Oreochromis niloticus: one gene and its partner. The protein of the gene in region 1 binds, or shares a complex with, the protein of each later gene. Links are inferred from orthologs where the notes say so. Each region holds a gene or a part of one and is shown on either strand. Other genes may lie near its edges. The genes, in order: cpsf2 and cpsf4.

Region 1 (11,641 bases):
ATTCGGGAATGTCAATTTGGCCCGTCAAAGGCAAATCTGGTCCACTGGACAGTTTTGGAACACGTGAAGTGGGAGATAAATTTTGGACTTTTAACTGTATTTTTCTGAAGTTTTACAGCTTTTCCTATTGATGAAGACCTCCGCCACAGCCATTCACATTACCAAAGTAATTAAGATATCTCGGGGATTAAGTGTTTAGTTAAACTTCTTTACACTGATAGAAAGGGGCGTTTCACTGGTCGACAGTATGTGGCCGCCATGTAAAATTAGAGACAACCCTGGTCTAATTGTGCAGATTAATAATCGTCCAGAGCAGTTTGGTCATATTTGTTAGTATAAATAAGGAATAAAAGTCCTGAATATTTGTTGACTTTTTAATATTAAAGGAAGATGTTCAGTATGGAGTGAACCTGGATGTCACAAGTTACACTAATGGCAAGAGAGAGACTCACAATCCTCCAGGGAGAGTGCTCCCATACACTGCGTGGGACTTCTATGAGGTGGGGACACAGTGCTGCAGGCTGCTGATTTATGATTATGTCTAAAGCAAGATTACAGTGATTTCTGCATTTTTAATGTCCTGATTACTTTCCTAATAATTGGGCCCTTTGATGCAAATTAGCTGCATTCACTTTCTCTGTGGGGATCATTAAAGCTTATCCTCATTTTCATATTTTCCGGGACCACCTTCATTAAGAGAAAAATCAGATGTATATTTATGTACTAAGTAATATTTTAATTTGAATATTTTTCATTGCTGCATGATAGAAGTCATTCCATTAGCTGTATCAGTGCGCCATCTGCTCTGTGCTGCAGATTAGTAGTCATCTTGGTGTCTCAATTCCCAGAGTGGCTGCTCCCTCCGCATGCTGAATCCTCAGGCTTTCTCCTCCACGGTGTGGAACGTGCTGTCCATCCTCCAAGAGCAGTTTGGCAGCATGGCGGGAGCCAATATGTTAGTATTTGGAGCAAAAATCGGTCACATTGGGGAATACTCCATTTGTTTTGGTCTTGATGTGTGTGTGTTTTCTTCAACCAGATACCTGACACCACCTGGCACACAAGGATTTGCTCCACATTATGATGACATTGAAGCCTTTGTGGTTCAGCTGGAGGGGAAGAAACGCTGGCGAGTGTACAGCCCAAGGTGAAAAACAGCGGGGAAACTTTCAAAAAAGAGCACCACAATTTTAAAGTCATGCTGTTGCTGAATTAATAGTGCATAATAATAAATCCAGAATAATATATCAAACACACTGCGTGTACATTATGCGATGTCATTGCATTAGTAAATCTCTGCAAATGTTTTAAATCAGCAAACTTGCATAACAGACTTATTTATAGTATGTGGGTCATGATGGACTAAAGTTTTATACAAAACTACTTAAGCATCCAAATCAGTGTTGATTGAACCCAGTGAAGCCTGAACCATAAAATAATTGCCAGAAAATTCTCATTTTTGTGAAACTGGGGTGTTTATTGAACCTTCAGACGAATTAAAACAATAATAAAGTCAATTTGCATATGTGGGTTTTAATTTGTTTAATTTTTGCTATATCTGGTATTTTTATATATATATTTTTTTTTTTTACTCTTTCGTTTTCTCTTTTTTTCCTTTTCTTTTAGATCAGACGATGAGGTCTTGCCTGTGCTTTCGAGTCGTGAGTAAAAAAAACAACAACAACTAATCCTCTTAGTAGTTTTTAACGGTTGCGTTTTGTTAGCATAATTATTTGATGCCTCTGGGTCTGAACCTCGTGGGATCCTGGGGCAGCAGGGGAATGGGTACTTTGTAAAAAGCACTTGTAATTAAAAGTAAGAGAATGATGGTGGAGTGGGTTTGATGAAGGAGGGCAGAAAAAGAAATATTTCATGTCTTGTGGTGTCACTTACAAATGATAAATTACTGATTTGTGGAAATAAAATAGCCTCTCTTGCTTGAAAAACAGAATTATAAATAAATATAATTAATGCTGGCATAGATTTCTCAGAGGTGTCTGCTTTGTGATTTCTCTTCAGCAAACTTCGACCAGGCAGACATTGGTAAGCCGATCCTAGATGTGGTGGTAGAAGCCGGAGATCTCATCTACTTCCCTCGAGGTTTTATCCATCAAGGCAACTGCCTACCAGACGCACACTCTCTGCACATCACCATCTCCTCTTACCAGAAGAACAGCTGGGGAGATCTGCTGCAAAAGGTAGAAAACCCTCCCTGTTTCCCCCTGTGGTGCATGCAGATGAAGACAACGGCCGAACTCTGAAACGTGTGCCAGTAGTTAGCAGAAGGGTATAAATCTTGCATCCAGCATGAAGTGGTTTTGCATTGCAGGTGAAGAATAATAACCAAAGCAGTCTTTCCTGCTGACAGATGATACTAATGATCTCTGGTGGAGAGTATTTTGCTGATGGTTCATACATCACCTTTCTTTCTTAACCTAAGGATTGCCTAAGACAGTTAAACTTACAAAAGGGTATTCAGAATTTACTGCTCTTTTTTTCAGCTGGTCCCAGCAGCATTGGAAGTAGCAATGGAGGAGGACGTGGAGTTCAGACGGGGTTTACCTCTGGACTACCTGACGTACATGGGAGTACAGAATTCCGACAAGGTATTTAATGAAGTGATTTTTACCAACTTTTCAGGTGTTGTCTTCGTTTACTCCCAATTACTAGCTAAAGATAAAACTTATCCTTGTGTAGGAAGACCCGCGCAGGGCAAAGTTCTTCTCTCGAATTGATAATCTGATGAAGAGGCTAACAAATTACGCACCAGTAGATGCTGCTGTTGATCAGAAGGCTAAAGACTTCATTCATGACTGCCTTCCTCCCGCTCTCACTCCAGGTATGTGATGGAGAGAGCTGTAATTGTTGCATTAGTTTCTTTTTTCAGTGAGATGCATAATGTCACGATATTGCTTTTGATTCTAATTCATGCCATCACCCACAGATGAACTGGTCACCAGTGTACAAGGAGCACCTACGAGGTGGGAAGGTGGACAAGTAAAGGATGTGGGTGTACATATCATTACACAGACTCAAATCAGAATTCTACGTGCTCAGTGTGCCCGGTAACACAGATTTTTTTATTGACTACATGTTAAGGCTACCAATTAAAGCAGAAAAGTGTCATTGTCATTTGTCTTGTAAATCTTTACTGCCAGGTTATGCAATGACGGAGATGCCGTTCATCTTTACTACACCACTGACAACTCTAGAGTTTACCACAAAGAGGAGCTCAAGAGTTTTGAAATAAAACCAGAGGTAAACATTGGCAGATGTGTTTGTCAGGTCTCGTAAACTGTGCTAATGACGGGGTTGACTTGTTTTTCCTCTTAGTACACAGATGCTGTCGAGTTTCTGATCCATTCATATCCCGGCTTTGTGACAGTAGGAAGCCTCCCATGTGAATCTGCGCAGGACAGGGTAATTATTACCTTCACACACTCTGTGTAGTTTTATGTTGTTGGAAGGTGTCTCATATGGGGCAGCTTATCTTCAGTGTTTTAGATGGGTACCTGTATAAACAAGGTTTCTGCACAGTGAAATCACTTATTTGGTTATGTGTTTGTCATTAGTGGTTGATCCTCATGTTTTTCCCCTTACTTTTTCCCCAGATTGCTTTGGCTGAACTACTTTTTGAGAAGGGGATTATCCACACTGCAGAACCAGTGTAGCACTAGATTCTTCCACCATGGTGACTGCATGAAGAGATCAAATCACTTTATACAAAATAAGATCTTCAGTGGAGAACATGTCTGCTCCAAGTAGCCTTCATTAGCTCAACTGGAAATGGATAATGCATTTGTGATTTTGCTGTTCAACTAAAAATAAAAAAAAATTTATATATAATTTTTGGTCTTGTACAACCAGAATCATTAACAAGTACCAAATGATTTTAATTAATGGCATCTTTATTATTGGTTGATACAACTCAAAAACAGAGGTACAGGAGTCTTCTTAAATATTGTGATTTGAGGACACCCATTCGTTCACACCACACGACACAGGCTTTCAAGTAGAGAGCAGTCTACCTCCAGGTCACCTCCTCTCCAGGCTTCAGTTCCCTATAAAAAGAAGAAAAATTTGAAGTTTTGTAAGATGTTTGGCTTTCACAGCGCAGAATGATGTATGAGCACAGTTTTACACCAGAAGATCACTACTGGAGTTATTGGCTGAAAGTGGAAAAGTGTATTACTACATTAGAAACAAAAAGTGTTATATGGAAATCTATTAAAGTGGATTTGCATAGATATAGAAGGCAGTTGCTTATTAATTGAGCCTGCATATCTGTAAGGGGTCTTTATTGCATTCAGCATTGCATCATATTTTGGCCTAAATACACCAAAATAGACAAGATAAAACACAAACACAGGATGTATTAAACTAATTGTCATTATTCTGCGTCATCTTATGTGTTTCAAATATTTACAGGTGGATTTTTTATGAAATTGCAGATTTCATGTATTTATAACTTTGCCAAATTGAAAATATCCATGCACTGAACTAATAACTCCAGACCATGGGCTATTGTGTACACAGTGACAAACATCACCATGAATTCAACATAGTAGTTAGTCTTTAAATTCAAGAATAACCTGAGGGATTTGTTTTGTTTTTATTTGGTGAACAGTCACTTGTTCTTACCTTCCGTACAAAGCACTCTTGTTTCTGAAAGCTGTCAACTTCTGGTCCTGTTGCTTGTCAAGGTACCATCCAATGACAAAGCCCGTGGGGACAAATATGTGTGCCCAGTACTGGCGGGCAAAGGCTGCCAAGTTCACCATGGTTCCTACCTAAAAAAAGGAAAAACAGCATGGGTTTTATACTCCCAAATTAAACTTATGATTGCAGTTGGACATTCATATTTGTATAATAAGAAAAATGGATGCAGGAAAGCACAAGCATAAATGATACAAGAACATTTACCACTATTGCTGAAAAGTCTGATCTCTGTTTAAGCTATCTGAAAGGCTAAATACTAATATAGCAATATCTTATTGCTTTCTTTTAAGATACACCATTGATACACTGGCATCACAGATTCCACTGTTAAATAAACAAATCAGTTATTAATTCATGATTTTAAATGAGGTTCTCAAATGAATAAGGGTAAAAGTTAACTAAAATAAAATTAGGGGAAATACTGTTAAAAGTGTAGGAAATCAGATCACTTATTACTGAAGTGACTTATTAAAAGTAATAATGAATGCAACAACACCTTTCATCTTTTAATTCCACTTTTTTCCATTTAGTTACACAGATTTAGATTTTGCATTTACTCGGGTTATCTTTGTCTAATGTTAAAATTTGTTTGATCTGAAACAAATACTCAAAAAAGGAAAGGGAGAATGCTTTTTCATAACACTATATCTGTATCGTGCCACCATCATTATTTTGATCATGCTGCGAGTCCCAACCATTGAAAGAGACGTTGTAATCTTTAGCAACATGTAGTATTCCGGGGGTAGCCCATGTTCACAGATTTAGAGGACCTGCAAAAAACTTCTAGAAAACGAAATCAGCTAATGTTCTCGACTAAAAATGACAGACATTTGTTTGCACAATTAGCACAACAACTGTCTTTAAACGCCTACTTTAGATTATAAGAATGTGTACACCTTAACAATGTGTTACAACATTTCTTTATGCACTTCAATGAGGTTTGACAGGCAAAGCTTAAATGCACATCAAGCTATGTCAAAGAACAGACCACGGTCACTTCAGTTATTATATGGTGGCCATGCATTACATTACAGCTATATATATGAAGCTGAATACTAAATATCCAGTAAGTCTGCAGATCGTTCATCACAAACTTTTGGTATCCTAGAGAGAGGCACTTGGCTAGCTAGCCTGTCAGCTAGTTAGCCTTAGCAATATGTTTCAAGGTGTAGTTAAGGATTATTTCTAAACTGCACTAGTTACTGTATTTTTAGTACGATAAACACATTAAAATTCACTGACTCGACCAAAAAAGAATAATGAATATAATATATAATATTAATATCTAAAATAATACCTTCTGTTTACACCAGCCGCGGCCTTCAGCTCCTCATTCACCAAGCGAAGGACATCGGATTCTACCAACTGTAAACTTACGATGTGGTGGTTTCATATTTTTAAATAATTAATTTTAATGTCAAAGCACAAGTAGTGGAATATTAGATACGTTCCAACACTGAACATATGATGTTAAAGGTGATGTGTTCAGATACCTTTCGAAAAAAAAATCTAAATGTAGTGTTTTAACATAGAATTATTTAGTACCGACACCACCATATGTGGTATGCTCCTTTGCCCTTTCACACATGATGCAGCGGCAAATATGTCTGCCGCTATCAAAAACGCGAGCCAAAATGGTTTAATTTGGGAATAACAGAAAAAAAGATTGTTGTTTGTTTTTTATTCCAGAAGACTAATCCATTATTTTACAATTAATGGTATGGTGCACGCTCCTTTGTTAGTTCATTTACACTCATTAGCTAGCACTGTAAATACACTTTGCTGGGCAATCTGCTAACAACTCTGAGCTAGCTGTGGCTAGCAACAAAACTGTGTTTACATTTTATTTACTTACAGCCTGTAAGCTGCATACATCACAGGTTAAACTTGTGCAACATTACGCTGTTAGCCTCACACACAGTTTAATGGCAAACTCCAACCATGGTTGTGTTTGTTTTCTTTGTTGATTAAATTGAATGACTTTTCTCAGAGTCGCACTCACACACATAAAGAGCCACGCGCCTTAGATTAAGTGGGAAAGGTTTCGTGGTGAGTATAACATGCAAGCACAATTCTTATATTTCAGCGCGACAACTGAAGAACCATGACGTCCATTATCAAGCTAACAGCCGTGTCAGGGGTTCAGGAGGAGACTGCCCTTTGTTACCTGCTGCAGGTGGATGAATTCCGCTTCCTCTTGGACTGCGGCTGGGATGAGAACTTCTCCATGGAAATCATAGATGTTATGAAGAGGTCGGTATACCGCCAGTCTTTCAAAAAGAGTTGATGTTTCTAATTTAAAAAACTCTTAGCAAAAAGTAAATGTGCCTTTATGAACTCACTAAACACAGTACACCCACAGCAGTCTGGTTTATTGATGACTGACCTCCCCACCCCGAAGTAGGGGAAAGAAAGCTTGTGCCGACCTTTTATTGCCATAAAAGAAAGTTTATAATACTACTACTACTACTGGCCGTCATTAGACGATGGGTGTAGGTTTTGTAGTCTTGTAGTCTGAGGGTCATCTCCCAAGAATTTCTTAACATCAGACCCCCAACTTACCTCACTTATGTTAAATTTGTACTTTTTCTGTCTCATCTTGTAGTAGAAGAATATCAGGCGCAAGGAGATGGTTCAACATATATGGAGAGATTTCCAAACTTAGTCCTTTGCTTCTTTATGCTTTCATTAGCATGGACAAATGTATGTCTTCTAATTCTATTGCTGTTTCCTATACATATATACAACATGAATTATCCTAATTCATACTCTAATGGCAATTTTGTAGATGTTAAGATTTTCACTGGGAGAAAGAATTAGATCAGAAGGAAAGTTCAGGTTGAGCGGTTTGGAGACCAAATTTAAAGAAGTATGGCTGAGATGATGTTGTTGTGAATATGTTGGACAAAGAATGTTAAATATGGAGTAGCCAAGCAGGAGAATAAGACCACTGAGACGAGTTACGGATGTAGTGAAAGAGGGCTTGTGTGACAGAGGAGGATGCTAGAGATAGGGTGAGATGGAAGCAGATGATGTACGATGAGGACAGTGGAAAGAAGAAGAGTGGGAATTATTAATGATGCAGTTTGGTTTTTATTATGCTTTCCACCTAGAGCTTTTTATTCACATAATAGTTGTGTTCTTCATCTCTGCCTGTGAATGTGAATCATTCTTAGCTATGTAGTGCAAGAGTGCAGAATTAAAGGATGTCTGTCGTCTTCTAACTATGCCATTATTGCACATTCACCTTCATGTCTGTCCTTGCCTTTGGTAGTCTTCTCTCTCTCGCCCTCTCAACATATATATAAAACCCTGTCTATTATAGTACTTTATCACCAATGAGAAATTTCATACTCATCGTTTCTAACTGTATCAGTTGGATGAACATCTATAGAGTCGAGAATAAAAGGGACAGCTCTACTTTTGAGGCTTCCAAACTACCTAAAATCTCTTCTTTTCTCACATCTAATAACTACAGCTACAGAGATTTCAGAGACAGTGGTTGAATTGTAACTTCCAGGGAAAAAAATGTTTTTTAAATTCTTATTTTAGTGCAAAGTCAGGAAACCTCCAAAGTGATTTTTACACAATTTGAATAGCTATCTTAACACCAAGAGTATCAGAAGTAACCCTTGAAGCTCTTTTCTTGCTTATAGAGCAAGATGACTGGGTTTGTATCAGAAATTGGTGAGGGTGGTCTCTGCCTATTCAGTTACCCTTGGAAAAACCCCAAAAACTATGTCAATGGTTGTCACGTCTTTATTGATATGTAATGAGGTGTCAAAACTCATCATTAAGGGTACAGGGCAGTTCATGAAATGTCATCTTTGTTGAGGGGGAAAACATTAAACACAACTTTAAATATTTCCCATGTGCACATGTTAGTTGGCTTTGTTTCTGGAACTGTGCACCTTCTAATCTTGAATGAATCGCAAACTGTCCTCAAAGTAGAGGCCACTAGAAGCCTATATTACCCTTGTAAAATGTAAAGCTTTATTATCTGTCTGGACTCCTTGTGAATGCGTATTGTTCTCCTTTAAAGAACAAATTTTGATCTTGTGAGACGAGACTGTGCGATTGAATAAAGATTTGAATTAAACTACTCCACTTTTCTGGGACTTGAACCTGCTGCAATGCTCTTTTTTCCCCTCTCCAGACATGTTCATCAGGTCGACGCTGTGCTGCTCTCCCATCCCGACCCCATACACTTGGGAGCCCTGCCATACGCTGTGGGCAAACTGGGGCTGAACTGTACTATCTATGCCACGATTCCTGTCTACAAGATGGGGCAGATGTTCATGTACGATCTGTATCAGGTAAGAAGGGGATGTGGGTAATGCATGATTTAATTAACAGAGGGTCTTTTTGGCTTGATTACCATTGCTGTATTAAATTCTCTCTTTCTTTCCATGTAGTCCCGAAACAACAGTGAAGATTTTACACTGTTCACTCTTGATGATGTGGATGCTGCTTTTGATAAGATCCAGCAGCTGAAGTACTCTCAGATTGTCAATTTGAAAGGTGTGTTTTATTTGCAGAACATCAGAGGTCAGGTGTTATTCCCTGTTTATGCACCACATATAACAATGTGATTGTTTATGTATTTTTTTTTTTACCTGACAGGAAAAGGGCACGGTCTTTCCATTACTCCTCTTCCAGCCGGTCACATGATTGGAGGCACTATTTGGAAAATTGTGAAGGATGGGGAGGAGGAGATTGTTTACGCCGTGGACTTTAACCACAAGAGAGAAATGTAAGCAAAGAAAACATTAATGTGAAATGAAATTTTATTGTTTTTAGTTTGGCTCATTGTTAATGCATTCTTTTTCTCTGTGTACTCCAGCCACCTCAATGGCTGCTCATTGGAGAGCCTCAGCCGTCCATCCTTACTTATTACAGACTCCTTCAATGCGGCGTATGTACAACCACGTCGCAAGCAAAGAGATGAGCAGCTACTTAGTACGTATTAATAGCCACTGGGCGCTTTAACACTAACACTATTACATCAATAGTATGTGAGTTCAAACTGCCATATTCTAACGGTTACAGATTTTATTATGTAAATTTGTAATTCTCTTTTTCCGTTCTTCCACAGCCAATGTGATGGAGACCCTGCGTGGTGATGGCAATGTCCTTATTGCCGTCGATACAGCTGGGCGTGTGCTGGAACTGGCTCAGCTCCTGGACCAGATTTGGAGGACGAAGGATGCTGGGCTCGGAGCTTACCCACTCGCTCTGCTTAACAATGTTAGCTACAATGTAGTGGAGTTCTCAAAGTCCCAGGTACCATTAACTGTTTGTTTTTCACATCGGAGAAACTATTGAAATATTCAGATTTTTCCAGTCAAAACTTAAATTTTTCTACAGAGAGAGCACAGCAAATAATACATAATTGTTATTGTTATAATTCATGAATTCATTAATTACTGATCCTTTGTAGGTGGAGTGGATGAGTGACAAGCTCATGAGGTGTTTTGAGGACAAGAGGAACAACCCGTTCCAATTCCGACATTTGACCCTGTGCCACAGTCTGGCAGACCTGGCCCGTGTACCCAGCCCCAAGGTGGTGCTCTGCAGCCAACCGGACCTTGAGTCAGGGTTTTCTCGAGAACTTTTTATCCAGTGGTGTCAAAATGCAAAAAATTCCATCATCCTGACGTACCGCACCACACCTGGAACCTTAGCTCGCTACCTCATCGACAACCCTGGAGAAAAGATGCTGGATCTGGAGGTGAGTCCTGCAGTCATAATGTTGATTTGCTATACCAGAGTGTTGATATCTGCCCCATGGGAAGCTTCTGATGCTAATATGCAGACCCGGCTTAGGAAGAAACAAAATTTGTCAGTTTGTCATTTACACCGTATCCATTTGCCACTTTTTCTCGTTACCACAGGTCAAGAAGAGAGTAAAACTCGAAGGCAAGGAGCTGGAAGAATACCTGGAAAAGGAGAAACTTAAGAAAGAAACTGCTAAAAAACTTGAACAAGCAAAAGAGTAAGTTTCTGCAGAAAAAGACATGAGATGACTTGTAGCTTAAGGGTTGCATGTATTTTCTCTGTGACGCTATTGGTGTTACAAAACGTTTCATCAGTCAGTTCACGAGTACGGCAGCAAATTAGGTTTGGAAAAAATGCCATCACAAATGCAAACTGTGGTCTAGACTACAAATCTCAAACATGCTGTTTAAAAGGAAATCTGTAACTGCGAGATGAGTCATAACACTTTTATGACAAACATTTATATTCCGCTACCGAGCAAAAATAAGTTGTCTGCTCCTAGACAAATTAAACTTTTAAGTATAGAATTAATGTTTATTTTATGGGTTTGCAGGGTGGATGTGGACTCCAGCGATGAGAGCGATATGGATGATGATCTGGATCAGTCGGCTGTAGTAAAAACCAAACACCACGATTTGATGATGAAGGGCGAGGGCAGCCGTAAAGGCAGTTTCTTCAAACAGGCCAAAAAGTCATATCCAATGTTCCCCACACACGAGGAGAGAATCAAATGGGACGAGTATGGAGAAATCATCAGGTACTCGATGCTAATGCACAAAAACATCAGATGACTGATGAATCCAGGAGGCCACTAATGTGAAATTCTGACTTTTATCAATGATAATATAATAATAAAAACCAATGTTACCCTTTTAAAGGCTAGAGGAGTTTCTGGTTCCTGAATTGCAAGCCACAGAGGAGGAGAAGAGCAAATTAGAATCTGGTTTGACCAATGGAGATGAACCTATGGACCAGGATCTGTCTGTAGTCCCCACAAAATGCATCTCAAGCACAGAAAGTCTTGAAATAAGGTCAGTGATCATTGTGATAATTTGGCTGTGTTTTCTCAGCCATTTTAACTGGCCATTGGCAAACGGTACAGTAGAATCCACCTCCACGTGATTGAATATCAAACTGTATGATG
Region 2 (11,905 bases), on another chromosome or scaffold:
GATGACTGCTTCCAACAACACAAAGCTCAGATAAGCTCAAACTACTTTCTTGAACATGACAGTGAGTTCACCGTACTCAAATGAACTCCAGCACCTTGTTGGATTTAAATAGTTGAAGGGGTGGGCACCAGCAAGGTGTAACTAATGAAGTGGCTGCTGAACCGCTGCTCACTGGATATTTTCCCCTTTTCTGATCATTCTCTGTAAACTCTACATATGTTTGTGTGGGAAAATCCCAGCAAATCCTCAGAAAAGACATTTAAATCACCTTTCTTCTCCATGCTGATGCTTACTTTGAACTCGATCTACATATCTAGAGATGCAGATAAGCTGTCATGTGATTGGCTGATTTGACATTTTAGTTAATGAGCATGCTAATAAGTGTGCCTAATAAGTGTGCCCGGTGAGCTGTTCTCCATTTTTCCTCACAGTCGTCTTCATGTCTTTGCCCGTAGCACAGGGTGGCAGTAAAGAATATAGTACGCAGGATAAAAATCAAATGAAGAAGAAGCGATGCGCTGATTGGTGGAAAGTTTGGCGGACTTTACCCTCCGCTGTGAAGCAGTTCTACTGTTGGCGCTCCGGGGCTCGAACTTCAGCTCAGTGTACGGCTGACAGCGCGGGAGTCTCTGCAGACGGTGAGTGAGCTGGTTAATGTTTCACACACAGAGGACGGTAATGTTAATGCGAGCAGCGAGAAAATATGTGGAGACATAAATGTGTTTTGCACTTTAACCTTCGTTAAAGCAGATTAGCTCTGCAGGTGAAGTTTTCACGTTTTGTGTTTTTTAAACTTGGTGATGTGTTCAGGGGTCCTCTCAGTTCAGGTTTAGCCAGCGTGTGCACTGCACAGCTGTTGCTGTCTTTCTGGGTCAGTCAGCAGATGATAAGAGTAATGAGAAGCATGCGCTGCTGGGTTACACTGCACAGATACATGACTGTCATGAGGAGACACACAGGAGAGACAGTCTGATAAAGATCCGGCAGCTGCGTATTTCATGGAGTAGTGAGCTTGTTATCTGGGTTACAAAATAACCAGTGATACGGCTTATTGTGTAGTTCAGTGACTGTTTGGGCTGTGTGACGGTTCAAAGTTTAGCTGATGAGGCCATATTACCTCATACTGTAGCATGGGTGGTGCTGCTGCATATTCACTCTTTGTCTGAGGCTTTGTGCTGTAATAATGGAGCATCTGTAGGGCCAGTTTGTCAGCAGCACTGTCTGCATGCTGTATCATCACACACAGGTGTTAATTCCTTTCAGATTGATATTGTTTTTGTTTTTATGTCTGTGTAAAAGTCTCATCTTTTAGATTTCCACTTTGTGAGACCAAGAAAAAAAACAGCAGTCATGTCTTTATCTAACGGCCATCATGTGAGCAAAGAAGAATGGGAATCGCACAACAAGATGCTGCTGGAGCCGCTGGCAGTTAACGACTCAGAGGTTTGTGTTTAGTGGAGGTAATACAACAAATTACATATTAAACGTGTACCTAATAAAGGCCCTTTGAGAGTTCCCACCTAACAGAAATCTGTGTGTGTGTGTGTGTGTGTGTGTGTGTGTGTGTGTGTGTGTGTGTGTGTATTCAGGTGTTCTCCATTATTAAAAAAGAGAAGCACAGGCAGACGTACGGTTTGGAGCTGATAGCATCTGAGAACTTTGCCAGCAGAGCTGTTCTTGAAGCGCTGGGTTCCTGTATGAACAACAAATACTCCGAGGGCTATCCTGGCCAGAGGTGCAACGCTTAATCTAGTTAAAATCCCAACTGGCTCGATCTCATTAGTGTGGCATTAACATTATGAACATTATTTGTAATGGTGAGCATGATTTATGTGTACAGGTACTACGGTGGTACGGAGCATATCGATGAGCTAGAGAGACTTTGTCAGAAGAGAGCACTGGAGGCCTACAGTCTGGACTCGGAGAAATGGGGTGTCAACGTTCAGCCATACTCGGGTATCAAATATGGATGCATTTAAATCTGAGTCTTGACTACACCCGGTGGCATGCAACATCTGCCGTGCTCCTGTCACTCACTGTCATACTGTTCGTGCTTCTCGGTAAGGGTCACCTGCAAATTTCGCCGTCTACACTGCTGTTGTGGAGCCCCACGGCAGGATCATGGGGCTGGATCTTCCAGATGGAGGTCACCTGACGCACGGCTTCATGACTGAGAAGAAAAAAATCTCGGCAACCTCAATCTTCTTTGAATCCATGCCGTACAAGGTATGTATGTGCACGTATGGTCGGGAACCAAAAGGTTCTGTGGGAGTTTGGAACAAATTTCTCAAAGATGCGATGCGCTCTGGTATTTCGTCACGACAGCTGGGACAAATCACAGAATCAAGGCGGTTATTTGAGTTACTGTTCCCTTCCTATCAGCTCAAAGCAGTTTGGCCATTCTTCTCTGACAGTGACAGGGCTTTTTCATCAGAGAACTGCCGCTCACTCAGCAGTTCCTGAAACACTCAGACCAACAATCATACCACATTAAAAGTCACTTAAAACATCTTTTTGCCCCCATTCTAATGCTCAGTCTGAACTTCAGCATGTCACGCTCATCATGTCTACATACTTAAATTCATTCAATTGAAGTCATATGATTTGCTGATTAGATATTGGTGGTGAGCAATTTCCAAGATTTTTGGAAACAAAAGTGAGCACTAGAAACCACTTTGTGGTGGGAGCAAACCATCTGGAACACCAGTGAGTACTTCAGACTCAATGAACTACACATCTGTGAAGTTTGACTGAATCTCCCATGGGTTGTATATCGTCAGATTCCTTAAAAGTGACCAGTATCTGCTGTGGCTGTCCATGTTTGTAAATGTAGGCAAAATCAAAACAACTGATTTCACTTTGGTTCAGGTTTTATCCAAAGTCCAACTACGTGGTGTTGTCCTCATCTTGTGTATAGCAGGTGTTATGTTTTGGTTATGATGTGATCTGCTGCTTCTCTGTTCATCCAGGTCCATCCAGAGACTGGCTACATCGACTACGACAGGCTGCAGGAAAATGCACGACTCTTCCACCCTAAACTCATCATCGCAGGTAGTGCATCCCTCCTGTGTTTTTTATTTTTTATTTTTTTACTCAGTGAGCAGTGACTGGGAGCTTTAAATCTGAGGGTATTTGGGGGAGAAGAAAAGAAAATCTCTACACTTTGTCTTTTTTTTCTTTCTCAGGAACGAGCTGCTATTCTCGCAACCTTGACTATGCCCGCTTGAAGCAGATTGCTAATGAGAATGGTGCCTATCTGATGGGAGACATGGCTCACATAAGTGGATTAGTGGCTGCCGGAGTGGTGCCCTCACCCTTTGAGCATTGTGACATTGTTACCACGACGACGCACAAGACACTGCGTGGCTGCCGTGCTGGGCTTATTTTCTACAGAAAAGGTATAAAAGGGACCTGAAGCCAAAAACGGCAAAGACAGCACTGAACTTTTTCTCCCTTTGTCCTGTTATAAATCTGCTCTTCCACACACTGATAATGTGTGAATTTACTATTTTTATTCGACCTTCTCCTCTTCTTCGCTCCATCTCTTCAGGCGTGCGGAGTGTGGATGCCAAAGGAAAAGAGACTCTGTACAACTTGGAGTCATTGATTAACCAGGCCGTGTTTCCCGGACTGCAGGGAGGACCGCACAACCACGCCATCGCAGGTATTAACTCATCATTTTCTTCCACTTTCGCTTTTTACTCTTTCACGTCTCTCACTGGGGTCATGTTTTGTTTGTTTCTTTTTCAACAAATGGCAGGTGTTGCTGTAGCTCTGAAGCAAGCCATGACACCAGAGTTTAAGGCCTATCAATTGCAGGTTCTCGCTAACTGCAAGGCTCTATCCAGCGCTCTTGTTGACCATGGCTACAAGATTGTCACCGGTAAGTACTGCAGAGCACCATAATAGACAAGTGGAAGTGAAAATTGCCATGACAACCAGCTGAAATTACACTGAGTGGGAGAAGAGCAATCAACATGGATGCAAAAAGTATAACTAAGCCCATTTACTTTTTATTTTTTCATTCTTCGGAGTAAAAGAGGCTTGAAATTCCCAATCCCGCAATAACTTGACCAACCATCCCTGTTTATAAATTTCAAAAGGCCAGCATCTTCATGTGTGATCTTCACTGTGAAGATCCCGTGAATGTTTCGGAGGATGGAGAACGGTGTGGATGCCCAAGAACGAGCGTTTGAAAACAAATCAAATGAAGGCATCAGAATGATTCCAGCAATGTGTCCAGCAATGTGTCCACCAACAAAGACTGTTAGGGAGAACTTTGCACAACATGAAGAAGCACATTTATGCAAAGGTTATCCCACGGTTGGGATAAACTCGTGAAACAAATTGAAGCAAATCCAATGTATTTATTTTTTGGAAAAATATGTTCATGAGACTTATATCTGGAGAAGGCTGGACATCACCTGGGTTGCCAAGGATGAAAGAGTTCAAGTTCAAGGCTGTGTTAATGGTTTTCTTTGACATTAAGAGCATAATTATGGATTAGAGGACGGGGTTCTAGAGGAATTAACAAAAGGGATTGAACCAAAACTCTATTATAAAGACGTTCTCGAACATTTTCATCTAAGGGTGAAGAAAAAGAGGCTACAGCTGTTGGAAAGTGGTTCCCTCTTTCATCAGGACCCACACTGCTCTCTCTGAAGGGTTCTTTGGCCCACTGCACACTCTGTATTTTCCTGATCTTGCACCATGTGACTTTCTTTTCCCTAAAATCGGATCTGCTCTCAAAAGAACTGATTTTGAGTCTTTTTCAGAAGTCAAGAAGAAAACGATAGCTTTTGAGATGCCTAATGAAAGATCTGCTGCACTGCTTTGATTGGAAGACGAGAGTGCAGCCGCGTGTAGGTGCAAAGGGGAATATATCGATTCATTAAAATTGAATTACAGCATCAGCCTCATATGGTCGTTGACTTAACTGATGATCCTAAGCCTGAGTGAGCCTGAATGGTTGACCATCTCTCTGTGATGGAGTAGCCTGCCCAGAGTGTAGCTCTCCACATTCTCAGTGGCGTTAAGGAGGATGGATGATTTGTAGCCTCATGCTCATCTAATGTTCCTTTTTGTAATCTCTTAATGTGCAGGCGGCTCTGACAACCATCTGATCCTGCTGGACCTGCGCAGCAAGGGAACCGATGGAGGACGAGCAGAGAAGGTCCTGGAAGCATGTGCCATTGCTTGTAATAAAAACACCTGTCCAGGTGAGTGTGGCAAGTAAGGCGCATTTCATATTTAAGATAAGAAGAACTTTATTTATCCTGAGGGAAATTCTTTTGTCATAAACATGCTCAGTGCAGCAAGAGAAGCAGAGGAATAAACATATAATAAGAATTTTTTTTTTTTAAAGTAGATAGATCTGTTTTGCTTGCTTGATGCCTCTGTAAAGTCCCGTTCTTAGTTTTCCTCATACATCTTTGTAGGAGATAAAAGTGCTTTGCGGCCTAGCGGCCTGAGGTTCGGCTCGCCTGCTCTTACCTCCAGAGGCTTGGTGGAGAATGACTTCAGGAAGGTGGCTGAGTTCATTCACAGAGGTAATTATTTTTCTTTAAAGGAGGAACTGGTATAAAAAGATTTCTCACAAACAAAATGTAAATAACCCATGCTTTCCATTCTTCCGCAGGCATTGAACTGACTGTGGAGGTGCAGAAAAGTCTGGATCCCAAAGCCAATCTGAAAGAGTTTGTTCAGGCATTATCCCAGGGAGAGAAGTTCCAGCAGCGGGTAGCAGAGATCAGGGCTGAGGTGGAGGCTTTCGCCGGACAGTTCCCAATGCCGGGTCTACCTGAGCTGTAGAGCGCAGTTCAGACTCTAAATGCAGCTGAACGGATGATTCAAGAAGATTAATATGAAGGCACATGATGCTGGGTTTTTGGTTTTTTTCCTTTATTTTGACTGTTGACTCACAGTTCTCATGGATAGACACGATTTCTGTTCAAACCGATTTAATGACCATCTAATTCTGTGTTGTTACTGAGCCTTTCCCATTTTTACATGTTTTCCATTTAGCTTCAGGATCGGATGTTACAATCATATTTAAGCTTTGAGCTCATCAGAAATCTCACTTTCATCTGTATTAAGGTTACACTTCAGAGGTTTTGTAGCAAACTACCACATTTTCAGTATATGATATACATATACAGTATTGTAAGTACAACTTATTCAATTACATTTTGAATAAACTAAGAATGAAAGAAGCATCAGCTGTTATGTTTTGTTTTGGGTTTTTTTTTTTTTTTTTTTTCCAGTCTAAGTACATTAGTGCTCTGGACTCTGATTACGTTAAGTAGATATTAGAAGCTTACAGTGGTTTAATAATCTTGATTTAGCAGCAATAGAAAAACAGCTGACGCTGGCTGGAATGTCATTTCAAGAGAACTGGACAAATAAAAATTCTGGTAGAATAAAAGTTAAGGGGTCATAAAATTCAAATCACCCTGATGAGAACGAGTCCATGGAGAGTTGAATATCCAGATCCTGTGAAAGCTGGATGTTGGTTTCAAAGGCTGAAAATAAGTTTTCTCCAGTAGACACTTTTTCTTCCTAGTACAATTCTCAGTGAAGAGAGATCCTGGACTTGGATTTTCACTCAAACTGGATACCGCTGTATGAATCTGTATATGCTATCACATAGTCTCTTTCTGGAAAAATGGTCAGTAATCCTCAAAGAACAGGTGATACAGGACATTAGAAAACATCGGATGCCAGCATCATGCCATGCTGTTTCAATCTTTTTTTTAAAAAAAGGATATCTAATTTTCTACCTTTCATGTGTTGTTTTTGTACCAATTTTAAATTAAACAACAAACTTTATTTATGTCCCAATTTTATTAGAAACGAGGATCTGATATGTTTCTACTGAAAATTACAAATGTTGGTACAATCACTGCTTTGTTTTTTGTTTTTTTTTTTTTGTTTGTTTTTTTAAAATTTTTCTTAATCTATACATTTGATTATTTAGATTACAATCTAACATTTAATGTTTAGCTCTCCATCAATGGACAAGAAGCTCAGTTTGAGAAGCGTTGATTTAGTGTTTGAGTTCAAATGAGCCAAAAGCAGGTTTTGCTCAACATGAAGATCAAAATAACACATCCCAGTACCCTCAGCTTTCACACTGAGAAGCTCTATAATAATCAGAATAAATCCACGAAAGGAACAGCGATGGATTTTATAAAGAGAAAAAAAAAAAAAACAGTGAAGCTGAATGAGACCTTGTCTGGCCTCTGAACCACACAAACTGATATAAAATATGTTTTGTACCAATGGTGTCCGACATAAAGGGGCACCAAAATCCAAATGTAATAAATTTTTACATCTTTTCCTACTGATAAAGAGCTCCCCCCCAGCTATTCATGCTACATTACAGTAATTTCTGGTTTAATTCTCTTACAATCAGATTACAAATGATCTACTATAGAAATTTCTGTTTTGGCTCCACAGTTTTTTTCTGTAATTTTTCTCATTTGTTACAGTTTAAGCCCAAAGAGAAATGCTGATAGATTTTACTAAAGCAGCATTTCTTCATCATGTAGAAAAACTTAAACTTTCTGTCGAGTTGTGGATTTAACGAAGCGCTCTGCGATCGTTTAGTCTTGTCTGATTTTGTCAGGTCAGAGGTCAGCCTGCGCGCCTCCCATCATCCACACAGAACAAGGAGCAGTTCGGGGACAAACAAACATTTACGGGACGGTCCGTGTCCATGGCTTGTCTTTAAAACCGACATTAGAGCTACAAACTACGGCGTCTGTTGTATTTTCGGTATCGGAGTTAGGAGTTGGGTGCTAACTTATCAGTTAGTCTGGCTAGCCGCCTTAGCAGGCTGAGAGGGAACCTGGTAGCTAGTAGCTAGACTTCGAGCTAGCTTAACCGAAACGGACATTTATCTGATCGGAGGAGTGAACAGACTGCAGCGGACATGCAGGACTTACTGGCCAACGTGGACCACATCAAGTTTGACCTGGAGATTGCCGTGGAGCAGCAGCTGGGAGCCCAGCCGCTTCCTTTCCCCGGCATGGACAGTAAGTGCTGGGATGCTAGCTGGTACTCAGCCCGCTGCAGGTTAACCTTAAGCGGAATTAACAGTAAAAGTGACGGGGAGAGTTGATCGCCACTGACTACTTATGTTTGTTGACCCTGTGATCGTGTGTGTCTCTGCAGAGTCCGGGTCTGCTGTGTGTGAGTTCTTCATGAGAGCTGCGTGTCAGAAAGGTAAAATCTCAACTCTGGTGATGTCACTGCAGCGTGAACGGCCCCAACAATGAACTCTTTAACTTCCGTAAAGTTAAAGTTTAGACACTTCACACCCCTCAAACGCACATATCGGTGCTGTTTGACCTTTTTTTAAGCAAGCTCGACCTCTCATGTGTAAATACAGCCTTAGATATACTGTTTACGGCTACAGTAGTACTGCACCTCACTGATTTCCAGGAATAGGTCATTGTCATAATGTTGTGAATTATATTACTCCTGTTAATAGCTCCAAGCGAAATTACCATTCCCCCCATCTTTATTAAGCGGTTTTGTAACCATTTCAATCCCTGCCATTAGGCCAGCCTTTGCTCATGTCAAAAAGTCAAAATGAAAAGTACTAAATTGTGTTTTAAGTGATCGGCATGACACTGAGAGCCATGTGTATCTTAATGAGGAGAAGGTCACAGAGTGCACTGTCTCTCACAGGTGGGATGTGTCCGTTTCGTCACATCAGTGGAGAGAAGACAGTGGTGTGTAAGCACTGGCTCAGAGGTCTGTGTAAGAAGGGAGACCAGTGCGAGTTTCTCCACGAATACGACATGACCAAGATGCCTGAATGCTACTTCTACTCCAAGTTTGGTGAGTTGACATCATGAGTGCATTTATTTGGTTAAACTTTCCACAGATCTTGTCAAATGAATGCTGTACTGATTAATGTTTTGTTCTGTGACCCTCACAGGTGAATGCAGCAACAAGGAGTGTCCTTTCCTACACATAGATCCAGAGTCCAAGATCAAAGACTGTCCCTGGTATGACCGAGGCTTCTGCAAACACGGTAAGGTCAAATTCTAGTACTAATACCACAAACCCACTGATTATAGACGTGGCCTGTCCTTTCTGTGGTTTAAATGGAGAAAAACATCATACGTCGGTCTTATTATCCTCAACTCTGTCTCCGTCTTCTTACCTCAGGTCCTGACTGCCGACACCGACACACCAGAAGGGTGATCTGTGTGAACTACTTGGTGGGCTTCTGTCCAGAAGGAAAGTCCTGTAAATTTATGCAGTAAGTAGTCGTTTTACATTTACTTCCTACACAACAGGTATGATTCCTGATAGGACCTGTGCTCCACATTAAGTTGGTTAAATCTGCCAAGCAGTTGTGCAGGAATTTCATTACATTACACTCCAGTATAAATGGTCTTTGTTTGATTTCATAATGATGGATAGCTGGACTAAAAGCTGTTTGAGACTTCACCCTGCAGTGACGTAAATTATACATTGATGTTCCTCCACAGCCCCCGATTTGAGCTGCCTATGGGCGCTTCTGAACAGCCTCCTCTCCCACAGCAAAACCAGAACCAGGCAAAGGTAAGAATACACACAAACACTCAAATGATGCATCCTGATGCTGGCGTGGATCCATCTCAGAGGATGAATCAGCATGGCTCTCGGTGCTCCTGTTTAACTATTCGTTCCTGTTGCTGAGGTGCACAGTGAAAACAGAGTCTCTCTGCTTGCCTCCTGCCGCAGCCCGTGCCTACCATTGGCCGCTCGTCGCTCTCCTTAATCCAGCTCACCAACTCCACCCCAGCCCAGCGGCAGCAGAACAACATGACTACTGTGTCTCAGCAGAACAATCTAAATGCCAACAGAGGGCCTCGTCCGCTGGATCAGGTCACCTGCTACAAGGTAAGTCAGCCATACATCTGTGTGATTAAAGCTATGCCAGTCTCTCTCTTTGGTCGTAATTACAATCATTAATCAAACTGTGGTTGGTTATATTGCCAAAGCATGCACCAGCCATACATTTAGATCATTAAAACCATAATTTTCTCAAGTTTAGATGCACTTGTAAGGTTTTACTTATAATACTGGTTTCCTTGGCATGGTTGCAGTTTGAATAAGATGGATCACTGGTGCTCTTGTGAATTTATCCAGCTTCTTAAAGGGGAACAATTTTCTGAATTTCTTGACTTTCCATAGTGTGGTGCTTTACACATTTGCCTAAAAGCAAAAGGAGGTGACACAAATCCCTTTAGGATTGTCAGGAACAGTATCTGGGATGAAAAATGTGCACAAGGGTCTGGCTCCTCAGTTCAAACACAATCTGGAATCATCTGTTTCAAGTTTGCTTCCCACGTTCTTCTGATTGGCTCGCTTGCAAATTGTATGCTCAAACACGTATGAATGTGGGTGGGGCAGCTGTTCCAACAGCCTTGGATTGGGGTTATAGGGTTTACTTGGACATTCACCGATATCATTATTTAAAAACTTGTACACATTGGTGGATCTAACAGCACATATCTAACATATGTGCTGTTAGATCCACCAATCTCACAGCACATATAACTGAAAATAAAGAAGGGAAAACATCCCTAAACCAATCTCCTTTAAAAATAGAGGATTTGTTTTTTTTCTTGCTACTGGGAACAGCTGGAACATGTAGTCAATGTCGTTAATCGCTTCATTTCTCTGTCTTCCTCTTGTCTGCAGTGTGGCGAGAAGGGCCACTATGCCAACAAATGTACTAAAGGCCATCTTGCCTTCCTGAGTGGTCAGTAACCTTCAGCCTCAAACCCCAAACACCTCAGTGCTGTAGCGCACCACCCCTGATGTGAGCAGAAGAGAGGAAGGGGGAAGACTCTGCTCTACATGCTGGTGTATCTTAAAGACTAACTGCCGCCCGACAGACACGGACAGTGGGAGGGAAACATTGCTACTTTTTCTGGGGCCTGTGGACACATGAAAGTGACAAGAAAAAAGGTCGTCCGGCCTGATTTGCTGGGTTTGTACAGTACAGGTGACTTTGAAGAGTCACTCCCGGGGTCCAGACTGCTGCAAACACCAATACAGGTGCTGTTGTTCCTCAGGTCATGTGACTGCAGCTGCCATTGCTATGTTCCAAGTCTGACCGTGAAAACAAATCGAACAAATGTGATAAACATCTTAGGAATGTAATTTAGCTTGTACTCAGCAGCCAAATCCACACTCGCTATAAAGGTCTCATTCTGGACATTTCAGCCTCGGTTTAGCAGCTGTGTGTGGCAGGTACAGCAGTACACAGCAGCTGGAAGAGACGCTTTGTTGACAGTCTGAACATATTCTGTCTGTACAAATAAATGTTCTTGTTACAGATTTTTTTTTTTTACCCCTCACACTTTTCTGATCTTCTCATAGCCACTTCTGAGATTTACACAATACACTCACCCCACACCCAACACAATACACAACATAACAGTAAATCCTTATTTTTATTGGTCACAACAAGCACATATGAACACAGAGCCGAGGATAGAAAGAGCTGACGCGCCCCTGAAGGTCTGCTGAAGGGGCTCAGTGGTACTTCCTCCAGCGATCGTGTTCTACAAGAAAAGAAGCAGAAGTCGTTTAAAATATTAGCTTTTTTTAACTAGTGAGGTTAGCTGTGACAGGAGTGCAAAGAAATAAAACAGGCTCTGTAAGCGAGTGTATATTTCTTACTGATGTGGTCGTATTCCCACAAGTAGCTGATGGCCACGTAGCCAACGAGCAGCATAGCTACACCACCGATGCCCCCCTTCTTCACATTGATGTACTTGTTGTAGTATCTGTCGTGGCCTAGAAGAGAAAACGGCACGGTCAAGTGTCCTGTTTAGTATTCAATACATGCAAGAGGAGCACTCATTCTGTGACCTTAATTACTACTGAGGCCACA

What was found.
Region 2: cpsf2 (region 1) and cpsf4 share a complex: the UniProt entries of both Homo sapiens proteins name them as parts of the cleavage and polyadenylation specificity factor (CPSF) complex. The link is inferred for Oreochromis niloticus from reciprocal best matches to the Homo sapiens genes CPSF2 and CPSF4.

What each region holds. Positions count from the first base shown.
Region 1 is NC_031980.2:14,769,864-14,781,504, reverse strand, and holds the start of cpsf2 (cleavage and polyadenylation specificity factor subunit 2), read left to right. Parts: upstream 1-6,277; 5' UTR 6,278-6,437; intron 6,438-6,805; 5' UTR 6,806-6,823; coding exon 6,824-6,972; intron 6,973-8,875; coding exon 8,876-9,035; intron 9,036-9,134; coding exon 9,135-9,240; intron 9,241-9,342; coding exon 9,343-9,472; intron 9,473-9,562; coding exon 9,563-9,678; intron 9,679-9,814; coding exon 9,815-10,002; intron 10,003-10,159; coding exon 10,160-10,450; intron 10,451-10,613; coding exon 10,614-10,714; intron 10,715-11,050; coding exon 11,051-11,254; intron 11,255-11,375; coding exon 11,376-11,528; intron 11,529-11,641. Other genes in the region: riox1 (ribosomal oxygenase 1), read left to right, coding at 387-500, 849-955, 1,040-1,147, 1,627-1,661, 2,020-2,198, 2,502-2,606, 2,698-2,839, 2,945-3,065 and 3 more. UniProt on the Homo sapiens protein: Component of the cleavage and polyadenylation specificity factor (CPSF) complex that play a key role in pre-mRNA 3'-end formation, recognizing the AAUAAA signal sequence and interacting with poly(A) polymerase and other factors to bring about cleavage and poly(A) addition.
Region 2 is NC_031969.2:10,421,040-10,432,944, forward strand, and holds cpsf4 (cleavage and polyadenylation specificity factor subunit 4), read left to right. Parts: upstream 1-7,608; 5' UTR 7,609-7,933; coding exon 7,934-8,036; intron 8,037-8,175; coding exon 8,176-8,226; intron 8,227-8,694; coding exon 8,695-8,847; intron 8,848-8,947; coding exon 8,948-9,043; intron 9,044-9,180; coding exon 9,181-9,274; intron 9,275-9,506; coding exon 9,507-9,579; intron 9,580-9,741; coding exon 9,742-9,900; intron 9,901-10,704; coding exon 10,705-10,773; 3' UTR 10,774-11,344; downstream 11,345-11,905. Other genes in the region: shmt1 (serine hydroxymethyltransferase, cytosolic), read left to right, coding at 500-638, 1,313-1,443, 1,590-1,735, 1,841-1,956, 2,066-2,226, 2,970-3,051, 3,186-3,398, 3,551-3,664 and 4 more; atp5mf (ATP synthase F(0) complex subunit f, mitochondrial), read right to left, coding at 11,545-11,573, 11,692-11,808. UniProt on the Homo sapiens protein: Component of the cleavage and polyadenylation specificity factor (CPSF) complex that play a key role in pre-mRNA 3'-end formation, recognizing the AAUAAA signal sequence and interacting with poly(A) polymerase and other factors to bring about cleavage and poly(A) addition.